2 linked regions of the Styela clava genome follow. The protein of the gene in region 1 interacts with the protein of each later gene in a pairwise test. Links are inferred from orthologs where the notes say so. Each region holds a gene or a part of one and is shown on either strand. Other genes may lie near its edges. The genes, in order: DNA replication complex GINS protein SLD5-like and DNA replication complex GINS protein PSF1-like.

Region 1 (10,094 bases):
TTTAATCTAAACATCATGATGCAAATGTAATTTTCAAACTAATTTTTTCATTTCTTGTCTTCATCATATTATGTAAAAGAGAGATTTGATTTCACAAATAATGTCAACTCAACACTATAAAGCATTTGAAGCAACAGAAACATTTCAATAATAATTGGTTATCATTATTTGTGAGATATAACTATCTGCTCAAATTTTATTCGGAAATTTTATTCGGAGACTTCCTTCATTTTCGCGAGGTTTTGTCATTTCAGGTGAAAAATCCTCAAACGTTAAATTTTGTTTTATGCATTTCATTTACAAATTCAATCAAGAAACGTCACCAATAATACTTACAGCCATGATAGTTTTTGGAAAATAGACAGTTATTCAAATTTTTAAAATAATTGACTTTTCATGTAATACCCATTGAATAAAATTTGAGTGGTTCAATGTGAATCTATTTCTTATGTATAGCAGGATATTCATACTAATTCTGCGAAGTTCCATCAGTGGATAAAAGGGAAAAAATGATCTTGATAAGAATAGAATGAAAAGGTTAGTTTACCTGTGCACAGAACACGTTTGAAGCTAAGTATGTTTACAAAAGTAAATTAGTATGTGCGTGGTTAACAATGCTACAATCATCAAATTCATTAGTACATATGTTATATGGTGTTTCTCCAGTTTGAATACACAATTTTACGGCTGAAAAGGTCCATTTCAAAGTATTGACTCACCTAAAAGAAACGTCTTCAACTTACTGCCAAAAAGATTCCTTCAAATCACAATTGAAGAAAAAAATTTTCTGCAATTACTCTAAATATGTCGTGTTGGTGCTGAGTAGAACGTTGTCTATACATGATTAAATTGTGGTTTCCAAGGAAAATTTTATTGACAGTCCCAAGTATTACTGTCACTCAAACTTGTTCATCGCATTGCTATGAAATCTACTATGAATCGGACCTCTACTTGCAACAGCAGCGAGGTTTTGAACTTTTAGCCAACACCACACCATAACCAGACTCCAAAAATTGGGCCACATTGTACCATGAAATTTAATATATGTGTAAAAAGTAATATGATTGGAAGAAGACATTTTGCTCAGAATGTCAATCGCCAGTAGAAGAGGTTCAAACCAATACTTTAATTTCAAGTAATCAAAGTTACAGAAAAATAAACTTTACAGCATTTAAACAGAAATTCCTCACAAAAATCTTTAGAAAATACAGTACAGTATCGAGCTATCCATACAACTGAAAGCTGTTCATTTTCAACCAGTGGAAACAAGCCTTCATCCTTAGCTTCGCAGCAAGGTTTCTTCCATTGAGAGCTTCCTCGAACATATCACAGTGCGCGTTGCCATGAGTCCTTATCAACATCAGTAATCATAACAATATCACAGCTCCATTTTGTACCAGTTCAGCAATAGGTTTATATCTGATTAAAAATTGTGATCCTTCATCTAAATCTACTCTATCTGATGTCTGATCATCTGCGTCTTCCTCTACAATAACACCATCTTCTTTTCGAATCGCTTTTAGGAATACATAATGGTCGAGGTTTGGTGCGTGAACTGTAACGAAATAGAAATTTTTTAATAAGGGTATTTGTACACCTCAAGCTCTGTAGCAGACTATGCACAAGTACATTTTATTCTGCCACAGAGAAAATGTTAGCATGTAAAATTTCACTTTTCACTCCATAAATGCTTATATGGTTAAATTTGGTGTTACTAAATTTGGAAGATGAAGAATCGTTAATTAGGCTGTAAAAATTGTATATATAATTCATTCTACTACATATTCCCAGACAAGCTACCAAATCGAACAATAGCTTGTGAGTCCCATTGAAAAAATATACCAACTAGAATCATCGTCCCATACACAATGTGTCCAGTAATGAGATATACTGTCAGGTATGGTCATACCCTCATAACACAAGTTAAAAACCACTCATTGACCACAGAAATTGTAAATCTCTCTTACACAATATCCACACACACACTTGGTTAAAATTTTCTGGCTATCACAATTGAACTGCGACAAAAATGTAGCTACAAACAGTGTTCTCACCTGTTGTTGAAAGCTCTACATTCTGCATTACTCTTGGCATATGATTGAGCGCAACTGTTTTCATATGCGTTTCTATATTTGCAGAAAGCCTGAACAAAACAAAAGCTGCAGGTAGCAACATCAACAATACACCTTACGTATATATATAATTGGGTTGGAGGACATAATAAACTTTAATGTCCAATTGAAGTAACTCGGGTACAGTCAAGTAGAGAAGTTTAATGAGTCCAAAAAACGTGGATTGACACACTAGGTCGACAATTTATCCAACCTGGAGATAAATTTGATTGTTTTTGGAAAGAAATTTTACTTTGAAATTGATGACTTTTTTAGCATTTTTGGAATATCTAGTCATACAATCATTCAAAATATTGAAAAATCCAGATTGCAAGTTACGCATATCATTTGCTAATGATCCAACAACATACAATAGCAGAGTTCTTAAGTGTAGTGAGGAAGGAATGTTTCAAAAAAAAATGCAATGCTCAATACCTTGCCAGGTTCCTCAGCTCTTTTATACTAAATGGTGTGGAATATACACACGTAATTCATGTATGACAAACATTCATAAAAATAAAGATGCTTATAATAACACGAAATGGCATTACCTCGTCAAGTGGAGATTTACCAATGAAGCACTCTGTCTTACCCCCGAGCATAGGTAAAATAAAATTGATGGAAAATGGATATCAAGGACTCCACGATCCCAACTTAAAATCAGGTCAACAGTGATTTATAATTCAGAATTAAACGACTCACTCTTTTGCAAAAGCAAATTCTTCTGGAGATAATCTGGATGGTTCATCTTCAGATCTTGTTTTTTCTCTTTCAAGAAATACTGGTCCATGTATCTCAATCTTCTTGAGTCTACACCTCAGATAACTACTCAGAACATAACGTATACGATCCAGTTCCATTCTGTGAATACTAACCTAAAATATTAACAATAATAAATGACAAATGAAAGAAATAGGCCCATTAACATATTACAAACATTCATTAACCCTTTCCGTGCGGTGGGCACGTATACGTACCCATGACAAAACTCGCTAGATTGCGGCGGGTACGTTGATGTACTCCACTGTTTTATTTAGCAATCGGTCGCAAACTGTTGGTCTAGTTTTTCCGGATTTTAGTTTATTGATAAGTCTTCGAGATTAACATAGGCGACGGTAAATCTCGCTTTCGTTTACCATGGAAATTTTATTTGCGGCGGAACGAGGGAGTGTTTTTGAAATTTATGCAAATTTGGGTGTTTGGGTGTAATAGAAGACATATTATCCCTTCCATCTACCAAAGTATTTTGAGTTAGATAACGAAATTGCTACAGCAATATTATGCTATTGTTTGCCAACCAAGAAGCGGTAACAGTAGAGGATTTAGCGAATATTTCTATTTTTTATCACGGTTTGAAGTTTCAACACCCAAGAAAAAAATGCCTTTTTTCTATCTGGTTTGTGACTCAGACCACCCCTTTTAAAAAAAATTTTAATCGCCAATTGCAAGCTCTTTAAATAAGCTTTCCAACGAGCCGTCAGTGAGCAGCAGAGGATCAATACTTTTTCGTTAGTCGATCGATTAGTTGTTGGGGTACAAATGCATAAAGTCGGCGTAGCAAATACGATTATTTAATAAAAAATAAAAATCGCATGGAAAGGGTTAACTACTGTTGTAATGAAGTTGATTCAAATTCATTCAAAACCCTAATGCACAATAAGCCAATGTCATCCAAAAATTATCTGTCTACAATCCTATAATAAAATTCCCTTGTGTATATTGAAATAATAATTTAAAAAAAAAAATTAAAAAAAAATACATCTGACTTTATCAAATGCACATATTTACTTCTGAATTCTGAATACATCAATATATTATTTCCTGAATTGACATGTCGATAAAACAGCATACCTTTATATCCCCCTTCTTAGCTTGTTTCAAATTTCCTTCCATTTCCGCAACAAGTTCCATCACGCATTCAACAATTTCAGATTTACATTCCAATAAATCCGGTGCAAGTTTTTCATTCTGCCATGCCTGCAAAAAATTGAAAATGCAAAAAACTAAAAAATTATCTTACAGTCGTTTGAATATGAGATGTCATTTGTAATTTACATTTTGTAGCAACTGATTAAACATGCGTTAATAGAAATGTTTATATGACAGTATGACCTTTACCAATTTACCTGTTCCAACTTTTTTAATACTTCTGCGGCTGTCAATTGTTCTTCCTCAGCATCACTTTGATTAGGAGCCAATATATCACTGATATTCAGATCATCGGCCATATTTTATTATAGCAATAACTAGGCTACTACCGGTATCTAAACATACAATACTCATAGACTCAAGATATGCACATCTTAAACTCGTACTCGTATTAATACTGTAATAATACACCAGTTATGTGGGAGAGATTGTCGAACACTCACGTCGCGAGGTCCCTTAACAGCTGACCTTTTACTGTTTTACCAATATTTACCAATAGCATAAGCTATTATTTACTGAGATGACATTTAATCCAGCAACCTCAAGACACTAGTGAATTTTATTTTATTTTTTTGAACTAATCTGCAGAGCGAAACCTGTGATAGATAACCAAGCCGATTTCTCGCATTGGGGAATTCCCTTAGAATATTCGCGCGCTTCATCTTGCGGCGCCAAGTGTACATTTCTGGGATAGGATTGAATTTCCATACCATCCCGGTGGAGGAGGAAGGTCGATAATACGACTCAATCATATAGTAAACTATTGCCTCTTGTCCAGTCTATACCGTATGGGATTAGTTAGTCAGGTATTTGTTTCAGATGCATGTACTTGATAGTGGGGGATGTTGTAACGTAACCGACCAGCCGTCGTGTGAACCACCCTCAGTGAGAGGAGAGCTGCAACCCTATCGCACATAACTATCCCCGCATGGTATTGGAATCTGTGAAACTACCAGGGTGATCAGAATTGCGGTGGCGACCGTATTTCTAGATGGCGAATTCAATTTAAAGATGATGAAGATTACGGATATATACCGGTACTCGTGATCATTCCCTACCACTGTATACTGTTTCCCATCAAATTGTTTAAAATTTCACGGACGCTAACAAATAATGAAAGAAAAGTGTTTTCATCTCTTCTGCGCTCTTTCCCTCTCTTCTGCGCTGTTTCGCGTTCTTCTGCGCTCTACTGCGCGCTTCGCGCTCTATTCAGTGTTGTTTCGCTATTTTCTTACGTCGCCTAGACATGTAAGGTAAGGTAAAGGGTTTAATGGCGTCTTTGACAACTCGGTCTTTTACGCCAAATTTCAAAAGGAGTAGTCAGAATGATACAATAAAAACATGTTTACAACTCTCGTTTGGTGGATATAGCAAATTTAATAATTATTGGAATCAAATTAGGAACATTGAAAATACTAATAATTTCCCAGGGTACATTCATTTTTGCTGCTTCACGTCTTAATTCGCATCGTAAATTATTATACTTGGGACAATATAAAATAAAATGGGAAACAGTTTCATTTGTGTCACATCGACTACATTGCCCTGTGGGATGTAGCCCTATTTTAAATAAATGATAGTTAAGTCTGATATGTCCAGTTTGAAGACGAAAAAATATTATTTCTTCTTAATCATTTAATGGGCTATGTGAGGTCGAAAGTTTTTGTAATGGCTTGCAGTATCGTTTGCTTGATATGTTAAATTCCATTTCGCAAGACATGCTTGCTTGCACAATGTCTTAGCTTCTTTTAAAGACCGTTGAAGAACAGCATTAATGACAATTTTATTTGCTCCGTCTTTCGCCAGTCGATCCACTGCCTCATTACCGCTAATACCAATATGTGCTGGTATCCACAGAAACTTGATATCGGTCGTGTGACAAATAATAGTATAAAGTAGTTGTATTTTTGTTGATAAAAAATGTTTAACATTCCAAATATCCTGAATGCTTTCCAAGGCAGAAAGACAATCGCACAATATTAATACTTTTGAAGGCCTATTTTGCGATATCCATATCAAACTTCGATATATGGCATATAATTCCGTACAGTAGGAAGTAGATAATGGATCGAGGCGGAATTTATTCGAAAATTCGTATTCTGGAATAAAAAAAGCAGAACCACAGCGAGTTTCAGATTTTGAACCGTCAGTATAGATCTCCAGGTAACCTGGATATTCCATTTCAATATACTCCAAACATTGTAACACAAAAACAGTAGGATTGTTGTATGTAACAGACATAGTTGATAAAACTGTATCCACTTCAGGCGGAGGCATATTCCAGGGTGGAATGGGAAAAAATTTAGTGTTGTTGACAACTATGTTAGAAAAAATTCGAGAGGTCGAGAGCATATTAAAGGTTACAAAAGAATCAGAGTCTGGATAGTACTCATGCCAAGACTGCTTAATGAGTGATTCATTAGGATGATCCTTGTGAGAAAGGAGCAAGCATTTGTATGCAAGGCAACAGTTAAGATGTTGTATATGGAGCGGCATTTCGTTACAAGACTCTTGAAGTGATATTATTGGAGTGCTCTTCATAGAGCCACCGCAAATACGTAGACACGTATTTTGTATTTTTTGCAACTTCTGTAAAATATATGGCGAAGTAAAATGGTATGCTTCAATGCCATACATCAAAATTGATCTGATGAGTGCCCTATATAGTGTTAAAAGGGGTGATTCCTGATAACGAATGAAAAAGCATCATCATTTTGCGGTCTCCTCCACCCTCTTTGTTTCTTTATTATAATCACACTTTTTTCTTGCCACGTCAAAAATTTTCTGCGCTCAGGCGGTCTTTTCAAAGTTGACGCTGTCAGGTGAGCATTGATTTCATGTTTGTGAATTTTTAGGATCAATCGTTTATGTGCATACTTTTTCATAATACGCTAATTTTTTCATAATCCAACGCTTGTATCTTCAGCCATTTTTCATAGCTGTACTAATGCAATTAAACTAAGCTTTGGCCTACAGTTATTGATCCAAATGTCTACAAAGTGGAATTGAGATTACAAGTTCTGAAATTGGTGAGATAATCTAAATCAGCAATGATTATTAGAGATAATTTCATTCTTTCAGTTAGTTAGCCCATAGCGTAATACTAAATGATACCTAGTGTGTAATTATTGAATCAAAGACGACGACGTAAACAAATGGAGGCGATCGAGATCAATGAAATGTCCCAAGTTAGAACAAGTAAGAAACCTGAAATCGTATTCAAATTTACACTTTGGATATATTCCATATATACGAATTGCCCTCATCTTACTATTAGCTTATGTTAGCTTTTATTCAACCTATATAGTGCATCTTAACCATGTTACATATTTCAGTGTTTATACAAACTGACTGAACGTAAACATGCTGCGAATGTTGACATCTGAAACTGCTTGAGCGGAACAAAAGCTACGGTTAAATAAATATTCATTAAATTATGGATTACAGTTATAACAAGGCCATAATATAGCACTAGATTGAATTGAGAGTATACTTGGGTTGAATCAAAGACCCCTGGGAAGATATGCCTGTGCAATGATGTTTGGACCATTTCATAAATGAGATCTACATTCTACATAATTGATGAATTAAAAACTCAACAGAGATGCGGTTGTGTTGGGATGTTCCGGATATAGTACAGGTGATATTATTTGCCCAATTTTTTTTTTAAATTACTTCTCTTGTCACTTCTTTTGTTGTTTATATCCAAACATTTTTTTGTCATTTTAAGAATTTACGTGGGCCAAAGTAGCGTTCTCTTTTTCCATATCTTTCAGTTATACTAATGCAGATAAACCTAGGTTTAAGCTACAATTGTTGATTCTGTAACGTAAAAGTTGTGTTGCTGCTATGAATGGTCTTCTATCTGCGAACTTATCCGATAGTCCCGTCGACGACTTTATATTAGACTTCTAGAATCTGGACTCCGATATAAAGCAATATTTAATCAGAAGGTTCTATTGGGAATTCTCGAATGGGATAGTTGCGGGTTGCCCACTATATTTCCTACCTTCTCTCTCTTTTTTTTCTTCTTTTCTGTCTGTGCTATTTTGGGTTGAGTTGGGTTATTTAAAGGCTTTTGGAATTACTCTGTTTTGTGAATAAATTTTCTATCTTTATTTATTACTTTCTCGGAAAGAAGGTTTATTTTCAACCGATCAGAAACTAGTTCGTTTCGTTTTTGATAGGTAAAATTTTGGGAACATAGTATTAACATAGTATTAAAGCGATGATTGTTTCCAAATTCCTGACTCGAAGACTCATGGAAGTTTAGTTGAAGAGAGGCGATCAAGGATTAATAAGGTAACTGTTAATTTATTTACATTTATGCCCAACCGCATGGCAATATAGTATGGTGAAGAAGAAATGGTGAAATAAAAGTGATAAAAACACGCTGTTGTACATCCGTTAACTGCTGTCCTTGCCTGGTCTGTTTCTCTCGTATCGCCGAATCGGCATAACTTTGCAAGATACTTTGATGTCAAATAACATCACATGTGATTGGCAGATGTTTCACAGGCAAATACATAAAACATATTACCAGGTATATATATAGTTAACAAAAGGCAAGCAGACAGATTGCCTGGAACGTCTAAGCCGCTAACGTTTAAGCCGCGAACCTTTTTAGAATTTGTCAAGTTTCGCGCCCCACCTCAAAAATAACTTGCTGTATAAATAACGGATAGTTAAACGAAAGTATACTTTATTCAAAAATACATGTTGAAAATACGTAAAAGGAAAGTAAATATCTAAAATAAGGCAGGCGAGATCAATATAACAAATATTTATATTTTTAATTAGCTAAACGCAATCTAAAAAATTGTCTACGCCCCTTGTGCGCGATCGCCACTGCTCTTTACGATCAGCAACTATCTAACTTTATTTTATCATGTAGATTCTGTCCGGATTGCGGAACAAGTGGATTGAGGCGACAACGGATCTCTCAAATCATCTGTCTGTTCAAATTAGGCATTTTTATGATTGCGCATTGTTTCAGCTAGAATATTTGATATTGTTTTATAGTCTTTTATAGCTGTGAAGTCGGGATGTCGTTTAATTTAATTAGCAGTCTTGTGTACTTGAAAGTGTTAATTAAGGCGCATTTGTCATTGTTGGGCGAAGTCTTAAAACCCAATAGTTCATTACCAGTTCACAAGTTATTCCGTTTAGAGAGTTTTGGTAATATTGGTGAGCTAATATTCCAGTTGCGAAAACGCACTTCTTTGCCTCGTTCATCGCTGCTTTTTCCTCAATACACCACAGAAATAACTATAGTTACTGTTGCTATTTGCGGCATTAGGTACACAGACTTGCAGAAGAATTTACTCAAGTTGCCGGTCTGGAGTCTAAAATCGTTGGACCTCAGATCGTTTTGTTATTATGTTATTATTGGGAATCTTTTTCTTGTTTCTGTGATGAAAAAATAGCCTTTCTCTATTAACTATACCAGTCAAAATTAACAATTGCGCGCGTTGTGGAGTAGTCTACTATGACAGATTGCATATTCGTACTACTTCGTTTTGATTTTCGTGCCCATATATTTGAGCATCACTATCGTGATGTATCAAGTTGAAAGCTTAGTTTCGAACAGGGGCGTAGCCAGAGGGTCAAATCCCCCCTCCCCTCTTTTGGAATGTGTAAAAACGACGACTAATAGGCGCGATTTGCCACGCGCCGAATAATCGCTGCTCCGGATGCCGTCAAGTAGAAGCGACGTGATTGGTTGTGACTAAGGCGATTTATGGACCTTTTCCCGACCTTTTAAAGAGTGGTTTTGCGAGTTGTCGCCTGTAAAATGGGGTATTTTGCTTCAAACCATTATTCTGATTCATAGCATTCAATAATATGTTTTGTAAAAGTACCGGTGAAGAATTTTAGCCTAGTCTATTGCAGCTATTTGTACACTAATTTTTTTTCACTGCAGTTAAACTGAAACTTCTAAGAAAACAAAGTGATCATTGAATTATTTGATTTACATTTAAATATCCGAAACAGAACTAAAAATTAACGAATAGATTTCAAAAACGCGAAAACGAGGTAATGTTTACGACGACG
Region 2 (9,531 bases), on another chromosome or scaffold:
CATAATGAACATATTGCATAATACTCTCAAGTGGATAAAACAGTGATTTTGAAATTTGGGGTAATTTGGCAATTATTAGGGGGTAATCCAGACGTTCACTGTCTTTATAATTTCTTTGTAATCCCCATAATTTTGACTAGTTTGCGGGAAGGATGGACATTTAATGATCGCAACTGGTCAATGAGCCTAGTCATCTAGTCGTTCATAGGAACATAATAACAATACTTCATCGTAGGCTGAAATGCTGAGCTAGCGCAAGTCGAATCCGAAGATGTAATAGGTGTTAGTATTATCGCCATCTTCGATCAAATAAAAAGTGATATCGATATGACTAGTGTATTTTATGGAAGGGGTAATTAAGATCTTGGTAATTCGATTTAGGGGAAACAATATTAAAAAGTTTGGAAACCCTGGAATAAAGGACCCCTAGACTAAAAAAAAGCTTTGTTCAACTCAAGTCAACGCACATGTATTATTAGCTCCAGTAAATTATTTTCATCCACAGCTTTCCTTTTATTTTTCAAGCAAAAAAAAGCTCAACTAACCAAAACTTTTCTTTTTCCCAATGGCTCTCAATTTATTCATCACCTTTTTGATATGCCTGGGTGTGTTACCAGTTGAATGTGATTCTGAAACAGATGATTTCTCACATAGAAGCTAAAAAAGAAAAAAGAATTGTTCAAAATTACGTCCAGCACAAAATGAGTTATCTAGCACCTCCTTATATATATGATTCCCCATAATTATCATTTTTGTGGCTAATAAATATATTGCTTAGCATTTCAAGATTGGCACAGACATGTTTTTAATAGATGATTGTATTGCATTTCATCTTGACTAGAGCCCTTTAAATATAATTTTCTGCATAAAAAATTACACTTGACTAGCAGTAAGCCTTGTATGAATAACCTACAAATCAAACCCTAGGTTCCTTTATGGAAGTTCAATAGCCCTTCACTGGGGAGGTCATTCATATGTCAATTGGGGCTTTATACTGCTATTCCTAACTTCGATGTCAAGCTTCTGTAACATCCATGAATACACACATGAACTATATACCAATGAAATCACTTCTAGATATTATTTCCTCTCTGATACTGGTTGATACTATTCAGAGGTTATCAAAAACTTGCCAAATTTATATGATTTAGTAAAAAGTTAGTAAATAGAATTACGAATATAACTAGAATTATAAAAAAAACTTACGGAAGCACGTGATAAAAGTTGGTCACCAACGTCAAGTAATTTAATTCTTTTATTTTTTTTGTTATCTTCTGAAAATAAAAAAATAGGTTCGGTTATGAAAAAAAACTATGAACACAAGCAACTTACCATACTACATAATATATCAAACCTACTAGATTTTATAGGAGACAAATCCTGCATTTCAATATCTTCTATACCAGCTTCTGTAGCACTTTGATTCATTGTTGAATTCTTTATGTTAAAATGAAGGGTATCTTCTAGATTATTTTGCGCTGGACTAGAGTCTGGTTTATTGATGATGATGTCTGGTAGTATAACATTTTCTGGAAGAAAGTAAAGTTATAGAAATATTTGATTGATTGGAAAAAAAACTAAAAATCTAAAGTTCGTTATAATGTTAGAGATAATGAGACGTTCGCTCAAGCATGTGGCGCCAACCTAAGCACATACTGGTGCAACATGCACAACAGCGGACAATGCCCAAAACTATTATTTAGAAGGCTGAGCTGAATTTTCATGTGTAATTGGAATTGTGTGGGATTATTGGGGGCAATGTATCTAGGTACGAGCAGGAACTTGATTACATTACAATTTACAAGCAATCCTTGAAATTATGACAAAAGCATGAAGTTTGGCTGAAGATGAATGAAGATTAGCAATGCTAATTATGGCAAGTTCATAAACCATGCCTTAATTAAAGACAATTTATGTTGGTAAATTTTGCAACAATACTATTGCATATGTATGAGAATACAATAAAATCTCAACAGCTCATGTCAAAAAAAGTGTATATATTTAACTTGGCAAAATAAATTACCAGTCGGCATAACAGAACAGGCATCCCGCGTTTCTTCAATAGATGAATCTGTATGAAAAACCAGATATGAAGTTTAAAATCAAAAACACATTTTCAGTGCACAAATAAATGCACAAAGTTGTTCAATGTTTACCTCTCTCCATGTATTGATAAACAAGCTTGAATTGAGACATTATCAGATAACTAGGCAGCCAACACATAATCATTTTTCGAATTTGCTCAAGTAGGATTAATCACAAAGTATAACAGTGTCCGACCCGCAGCCCGCAGACAAATTCATTCGACACTGAACCTCAATCATTGAATAATTCGACACTAAACCTCACTCAGGCATTTACAACAGAATTTACCGTAGGTAGAATTCACCCAAGTGTATTGTGATGCAATATTCGACCGAAATCATGCAGCATATTATAGGCTTGATGCTACAGAAACAAGGTTATGTCTGGAACGACAAGAGAGGACGCTTGTGAATAAAATCCGACAGTTACAAAAAAGTTGGGAAGAATCATATCTCTTTTTGTTCAAGTAAACTACAAAATTAACCTGTAATTCATGACATATTATTTAATGTGCGCCTGTGACAAAACTGAAATGTAATATGCAGCCCGAGAAGGTTTTTAGTTGGAAATGGCTGACATGGTATCACACAATAATGTTTTGCAACCTGTGACCCAATAAATAAAATAAAATAATCTGATAACCTCTAAAAACATAATGATCTGGCAGTCATTGCAGATTTTGTGGTCTTCACCTAGTTCTCTCGATTATATTACATTTAGCAATATATGACAATTATATAGACTGCGCTAATCTACTGCACCACGGGATGCTTAATACAGTGATGTACAGAATGAACTCAGTTAAGTACCGATATTTGATAAATCGAAAGTAAATAATTTTCAAACAATCAAATTAGGGTGAAGATTAAACATGCTCAATGGAATAATAGATGACATTAATTTATTATCACTTAGTGTTTGTGATGTTTATGGTTAAGATATTTCATTCCCATTTTACAAATAATATACCGTCATGCTTGCTTAGAGTTACACAATAACACAAATAACAATAGCCTATCAGACACATTTAAAGAAATGAGTTGCATAAAATCAAAAAAGGTTGAAATATTCGGAAGCATGGAGAAACCAGTGTTTCTTTTAACTTTGTTCAGATCAATGCAATATCCCCGGATACAAAATAATCATGATCAATATGGTGGAATGTGCATTTTTGCTCTGATAAACACCCAAATGCAAGGTTGATAAATTTTCAGTAAAATACCTGAATCAGTACTAAAACCAGCATCAAGACCAACATCCTCTATCATACATAATGTTGACATTCCACTTTGTGTTTCTTGTGTGGAACTCAAAGAAGAATTAGCAATTGGTTGATTCACTCCAGTTTTGGTCTTCTGAAATCATTGAGAAATTGCATGAAACCATTGCATAGTTATTATTGTTGAGTATTGTATTTTGGTTCATATTCAAATGGTCCCAGGAACGATTTGGGAATAAGAATGGATATAAAAAGAATTTTAATCACAATGTTCGAAATACCATTTTATGAAAACCTGAATCCTGAGGGCTATTCTTGACAGTAACTATTGAAAATGTTCGTTTTTTGAAAGCATGGTCTCAATCATTTGAACCTGAGTGCCTTGGACGCTTGAAATTTGAGTGAAATAAAAGAGCATTAGTAGGGTTGAAGGGACTTCGTGAACCTTCAAGTGTGAATGGTTTGTTTATTAGGAATGGGAATTTTAAAAGACAAACAATAGGCTATAATAGGGGTACAAAAGGGGTATAAAAGTTTTTGACAGTTCAACACCATGTGTGGTACGTTATCAGAGAAAATGTGAGATTTGAAAGGATTTGTATAGATGAGGCTTGTCTGCAACTGTTGATTATTCAAACGCTGCAAGAAGCAATACATAATCATGGGCACTTAAAATCGAAGCTGCTTTCCATTTGCGGGGGACCTCAATCAGACATATAAGAGCAGTTGCACCAGGTCTGCCATGAGATAAAGAAGTTCATTATTTTATGACTCATGTCATAATTCTGCAGAATGCGTTATTAAACTATCTAAAAAAAAAAATTTTAATATCTGTAGCCAACCATATTTTAAGCAGTAATTGTTGTAAAAATATTGGATTTCAAGACTTTTAAATAACATTTTCAGTATCAACACTTGAAACAGTGGTTGGTCAATAATACAGATTATAGTCTGTAACAGTTCAATAAATTCATAAAATTGATACATAAATATTGGTGCAGAAGTAAGCAAGTGGTGGTAAAGTTATTTTAATGGTGTAACCACATGTGATCAACTTTACCTTGCTCTGACGATTTCTTGGTCTTTTAATCAGAGACAAGCTATCCTGGAGGTTGCAGCCAACATTCATTTGGAAATGAAGAAAATTTTGTCGCATCTTCGGGATTTTGCGCTTAAAATTCATCTTTGGTATTAGTGAAACTTACTAAGATTAAATGGAGACTAGTTTCAGACTGACCAACAGACAGATCAATTTAAGGTTTATAGAGTCTGAGAGTAGAATAAACTTGCACATGAATAAGATGAATTACCTGTCAAGTACACGCATTTAGTAAGAGCAAAACATTTGGTCGACGCATGACAGTCGGCCATGGTAAAATAAAGTCCAGAAAGATTTGGGAAAATCGATTGTTACTGTATACCAGTATTCATTCATTTGTTTTTTGAATAACTTATAAAAACAAATAGATTAAGTGTCAGTGTTTTTTGCCAGGGTATTACGAGTAGTTGGTGAAAATAGTGTAATTATTGGACAATTTCAACCAAAATGAAACAATCTGTATGAGAGTGATACAATTCACGCCCGTATTTTTTTGTAAAATGACAGGGTGTAAAAGTTTCGAACACATTGCGAACACGAAAAAGTTCGTAGAGTCGTTACTTTCCAATCGAAATGTTGGATATTTCTGAAAATAATACGGGCACGTTATGTCTCCTAATCGACGACGAGAGACGACCGCTTGCTTTACGTTTTCTTCACGGGTCACTAAGAATGTCCAACAACAAGTCGCGCGATTTTTTCGACGTCTTGTTGCTGTTTTCTTCTGTCGGTCGTGTTGGTTGGATGTGAATTTATGAATTAAGTGACAGGTTGGAATGACAGGATGAGTTGTCTATCAAGGGAAAGTATTTATGAAATTTACATTTATTAATGAACTTTATGTAAGTTAAGCATGCATTTTGTGTTAGGTTTAGAAAAAGTCAAGTGGCAGGAATCGACTGCAGGACAGTTATTTCGACATCTGCGCGAAAATGCGACCGTGGGCCAAAGTTTTTCCCTTATTTGTCAAAGTTTTCTCTTTTTCATCACCTTCGAAAATTCATATGGCCTGTTGCACATGGAGTTTTGGCGTTCGTACAATCCTTTTATTGAGAATCTCCTAATTTTTTTCCTTCAAATAAAAATGATTGCTTGGTTTGATTTTGCATGTGACAATACAGCAATAAATATCGTACAGGAGTACAGCTGAATGTCATCAGGACATGGTGAATCTTGGTCATTTCAGGGCTGCTGCGCCAGAAGGAAAACCACATTTTTGCTCCAATCTATTGTGTCTCAATTGTTTCTTTCCCTATATAGATTTTTTCCAAATCATATATAAAGATTTCTACAAATCCCTAATTTGTTTAATTTCTTTAAATTATCCATTGTTTTTTTATTTTTAACTTGTTTTAAATCGCAGTCTCATAATGACCAGTTCTGGTCCCAACTTACTGTCAATTTCTGAACTGCCGGTAAATGCTTTTTATGGGTACATTAGGTTGTTCAACTGTGTCTTGGCCAGTAAGGCATTGAACATGTATCCCCTCTCTGTTATACTGTTTAATTATTATGTGGATACTTTCACATTTTTTGAGGCTTATGAACATACATATATGGCCTATTAAGATTTAAATCTTTGGTTTACACAGTAATAACAAATATTAGATTGGCTGACCAAAATGTCCCACAGGTATGTATATAAAATATTTTTTCCACTGCAGAATAAAATAAATCTGTTTCATTTTAATGAAAACTTTTGAGCTAAGCACACCTTCAGTCTGCAATATAAATTGAAAAGTAGCTGTTCTAGATTCGAATGGTCTTGAAAGCCTTCTATAATGTTTGGTGAGAAAGGCTTAGAACTCATTAGAGACTTGTACAGGAATAAAGATGGACCGATAACGCCTTACAATGTGAGTTTTTTTAAATTTCACTCACACCTTTAAGGCCTAATATGAGCAGCAGCCTGCTAACTTTTAAATTCAATATATTTATATATAAAAAGTTTCTTTGGTAACAAGGCTGTGGTATTTTCATCGGGTGTTTACATATCTTGGCTCCGAACAAGACTCATTACAGGCAGTTGCTATGTTTCAGGTTCAAGTGAACCTTATAAATTTCATTGTACACTTGGTGAAAGGATTGGCATTGGATTTGAACCCTAGCTGTGAGAGTTGAAAAGTCTCTTCTAATGTTTTGCTTATTGTTATTTTGCAGGAAGATGGAGTTAGACAAGTACTAGAAGAAATGCAAGTTCTTTACGACTCTAATCAAAAAGATGTGTAAGTTGGACAATGAATGGAACCTATTCTACCAATCAATATTCATATATGAGAGTTGCCTTAGCAACATCACACATATAAAGCAAATAAAAAATAATGTTATGGTAAAAAGGTGTCCATAGTATCAGAGATTATAAAAGATATGCCCATTGGAAGTGAAAACAGTATAGCATATGGCATTCTCATTTGTCAACGAGGTTAATAAAGAAATTCAAATCAGTCTGCTGTGGGTTAGTTCACAAGTATCATAAGCATGGTCTACTCTTAAAACAAATTTTCTTATTCGAATTAAAAGATTAATTAATAAGATATGATCTCCTGAATATACTTATGTGTCGTACAATAACCTATTTGATTTGAACAATGTTTTTTAATGCCAGTGCTGAGTTAGTGAATCCAGATTCAGATCGAAGTAAAATGGCAGCAGTTAAAATACGACACAGTGGATTGGAACGAAACAAGCGTTGCCTGCTGGCCTATTTGTATGTATTATTTTGCTTAAAATATCTGTGTATAACAATCTGTTGAAGTCCTTTTAATATTAAAATTGAAGATTTCAAAACATTGACCGGGCTTGATAACTAGTACCTGACATGACTTTAGGGTGATAAATAAGCCCCTTACATTCTCTTAAGTTACCAACAAGCTATTTTGTCAGATTGCAACAGATGAATGCAGATGCAAAAATCATTTTTCAGGTATAATAGACTTCATAAAATCAGAGATATGAGGTGGGAATTTGGTAGTGTTTTACCTCCAGAAATCAAGAGTAATTTATCGGAGAAAGAAGTGAGTATAATCTATACATGTAGGCTACTTAATTGTGCTTTTTCATGTTTGTATCAATTTCAAAATAATTTTTATCTAAATAATTTTCAAGTATATTTACTAGTTTATCAATCATATAGCATAGTAATAAGCTATATTTGTAAATACTCCGAAACAGCTATGAAGTACTGAAATAGTATTTTGTAATTGGAGTAACTAATTTATAACAAAATGGTTTTGTGACCTATGATAAAATATTTCTTACCAGGTTTATTTCAATATAATGCTTTTGTCATAATTAAATATTATAGTCATTCACAGATTCGTTGATTACAATCACCATCAAAACTTTGTACGAAATGCCATTGTAAGTATGTCAATGAGTCTAACTCCAGTTGGCAATAAAAGTTGTGTTTTTCTATCAAATCAGATTCAATGGTTTACGAGATACAACAGATCTCTTGCCAACTACATGCGATCCATCGGTGGAATGGGTGGTCTTGATCTAACACAGGTTGGTATCAAAGATGGATAGCAAAACCAAATCATTTACTCTTCTAATTTTAGATTATGGAATATCGAATATGTACTGGATTGGTGGAGTAATTTTCAGAAATTATTGTGAATTGGATTTTTTATGCAAAATATTTGAGATATGATTGAATTCGATTTTATTGCGGCAGAAGTTGAATTAGTTCATGTCAAATGCTTATAATGAGCGATAAATTTCCAAACAGGAATAATTTAATTTACCGCTTTAAATTATATATATTGAATACTAATTTGAATGCTTTCTATCTGAATATTTCTAAATAAAAGTAAAGAATTCTTTCCATAATAAAGCTGTGTGTATATTTTTTCAAATTGTATTCGAAATAGTAAAATATTGGGTTTTGGCCATTCCTGTATATTATATTATTATTTTCTTGCATTTTTCTGATTCAATTTCATTTATATTCAGGACATGACGCCACCCAAGTCATTATACATTGAAGTTAGGTGTGTGGAGGATCATGGACAATTTGAAATGGATGATGGAACTGTGGTTTTGCTAAGAAAAAACAGCCAACATTTTCTACCTCGATCACAATGTGAACATTTGATTAGGCAGGGGATTCTAACTCATGTCACATGAATGGTTGAGCTAATGCCTTATTGATTTGAATAGGGGTTTTGGTTACCATGCCAGTGAAGTTGGTGGATGAATATGCAGCCTAGACGACGCTGCAGCATGTGATATTTTCTACTGTACCGATGGCCAAATAATACTTTGTTAGAGCTTTAGGATGAAATTTTGTACTTCATGAGAACAATATATATCTGTCTGACTTGAGTCCAGATTGCATTTATTGTAGGCTTGGCAGTGTGACACATCATGCTTAGAGTTGGAAATGCTCTCGCCACCGCACCTATGATTACCTAGTGTTCAACTAGAGAGCGCATCTCCCTTCTGGCAGTTTTATGGAAACTAAACCAAAACTATAATGTAGAAGCTTTCAATGACTGGAAATATTTTTAAAACATGACAACCTGCCTGGCATATTCAAATCGTGTAGTCCCTCAATGCTCAGTTATTTAAAAGGTAATAAAAATACTACATATTTTTTGCCCCGCAATCCATATCTTTTGACTTATGTACATGAAACCATTGTAAACAGCAATGCATCATAGGCTGTTAGAACTAAATAACCACTGCAGTTCTCTGCGAGCCCTTTACCTGTGTCTAATAATATTGTTTTGTTTCTCTTTATTAGTGTATCATTTACACATGGTAATGAATAAAATACTGCTTCTCTCTTCTACTACCCTCTAAAACAAGAGTGGGCAAGGTTTTTTGGACTATGGGCCAACAATTTTGCCCACCTAGACTGGCAGGCCATGTAACTGTGGCGTAAAAAATTACATTTTATGAACAATATTTACAGAGCAACAAAAGCAAACATAGAAAACAATAAGCCTTGTTCCAAAACTAAATTTAATCGAAATCTCAACAAATTCATTGAGCTATTTTTTAGCTAAAACATCAAAATCTAGTTTCAGCTTTGGTTGTGGCAGCATCAGGCCAGCCAGATTGAATCAACCAACAAGTCTGATTTGGCCCGCATAGTTTTCCCATGTCAACCAACAAGTCTGAT

Evidence for each region.
Region 2: the proteins of DNA replication complex GINS protein SLD5-like (region 1) and DNA replication complex GINS protein PSF1-like interact in a two-hybrid assay, tested with the Drosophila melanogaster proteins (2 studies listed by BioGRID). The link is inferred for Styela clava from reciprocal best matches to the Drosophila melanogaster genes Sld5 and Psf1.

What each region holds. Positions count from the first base shown.
Region 1 is NC_135258.1:9,238,821-9,248,914, forward strand, and holds DNA replication complex GINS protein SLD5-like, read right to left. Parts: upstream 4,432-10,094; 5' UTR 4,340-4,431; coding exon 4,238-4,339; intron 4,089-4,237; coding exon 3,963-4,088; intron 2,987-3,962; coding exon 2,814-2,986; intron 2,144-2,813; coding exon 2,055-2,143; intron 1,556-2,054; coding exon 1,368-1,555; 3' UTR 1,108-1,367; downstream 1-1,107.
Region 2 is NC_135253.1:5,300,345-5,309,875, forward strand, and holds DNA replication complex GINS protein PSF1-like, read left to right. Parts: upstream 1-5,525; 5' UTR 5,526-6,184; coding exon 6,185-6,259; intron 6,260-6,563; coding exon 6,564-6,628; intron 6,629-7,008; coding exon 7,009-7,110; intron 7,111-7,326; coding exon 7,327-7,417; intron 7,418-7,826; coding exon 7,827-7,910; intron 7,911-8,357; coding exon 8,358-8,531; 3' UTR 8,532-8,727; downstream 8,728-9,531. Other genes in the region: uncharacterized protein LOC120326422, read right to left, coding at 546-657, 1,207-1,274, 1,359-1,529, 2,024-2,071, 3,308-3,440, 4,365-4,487.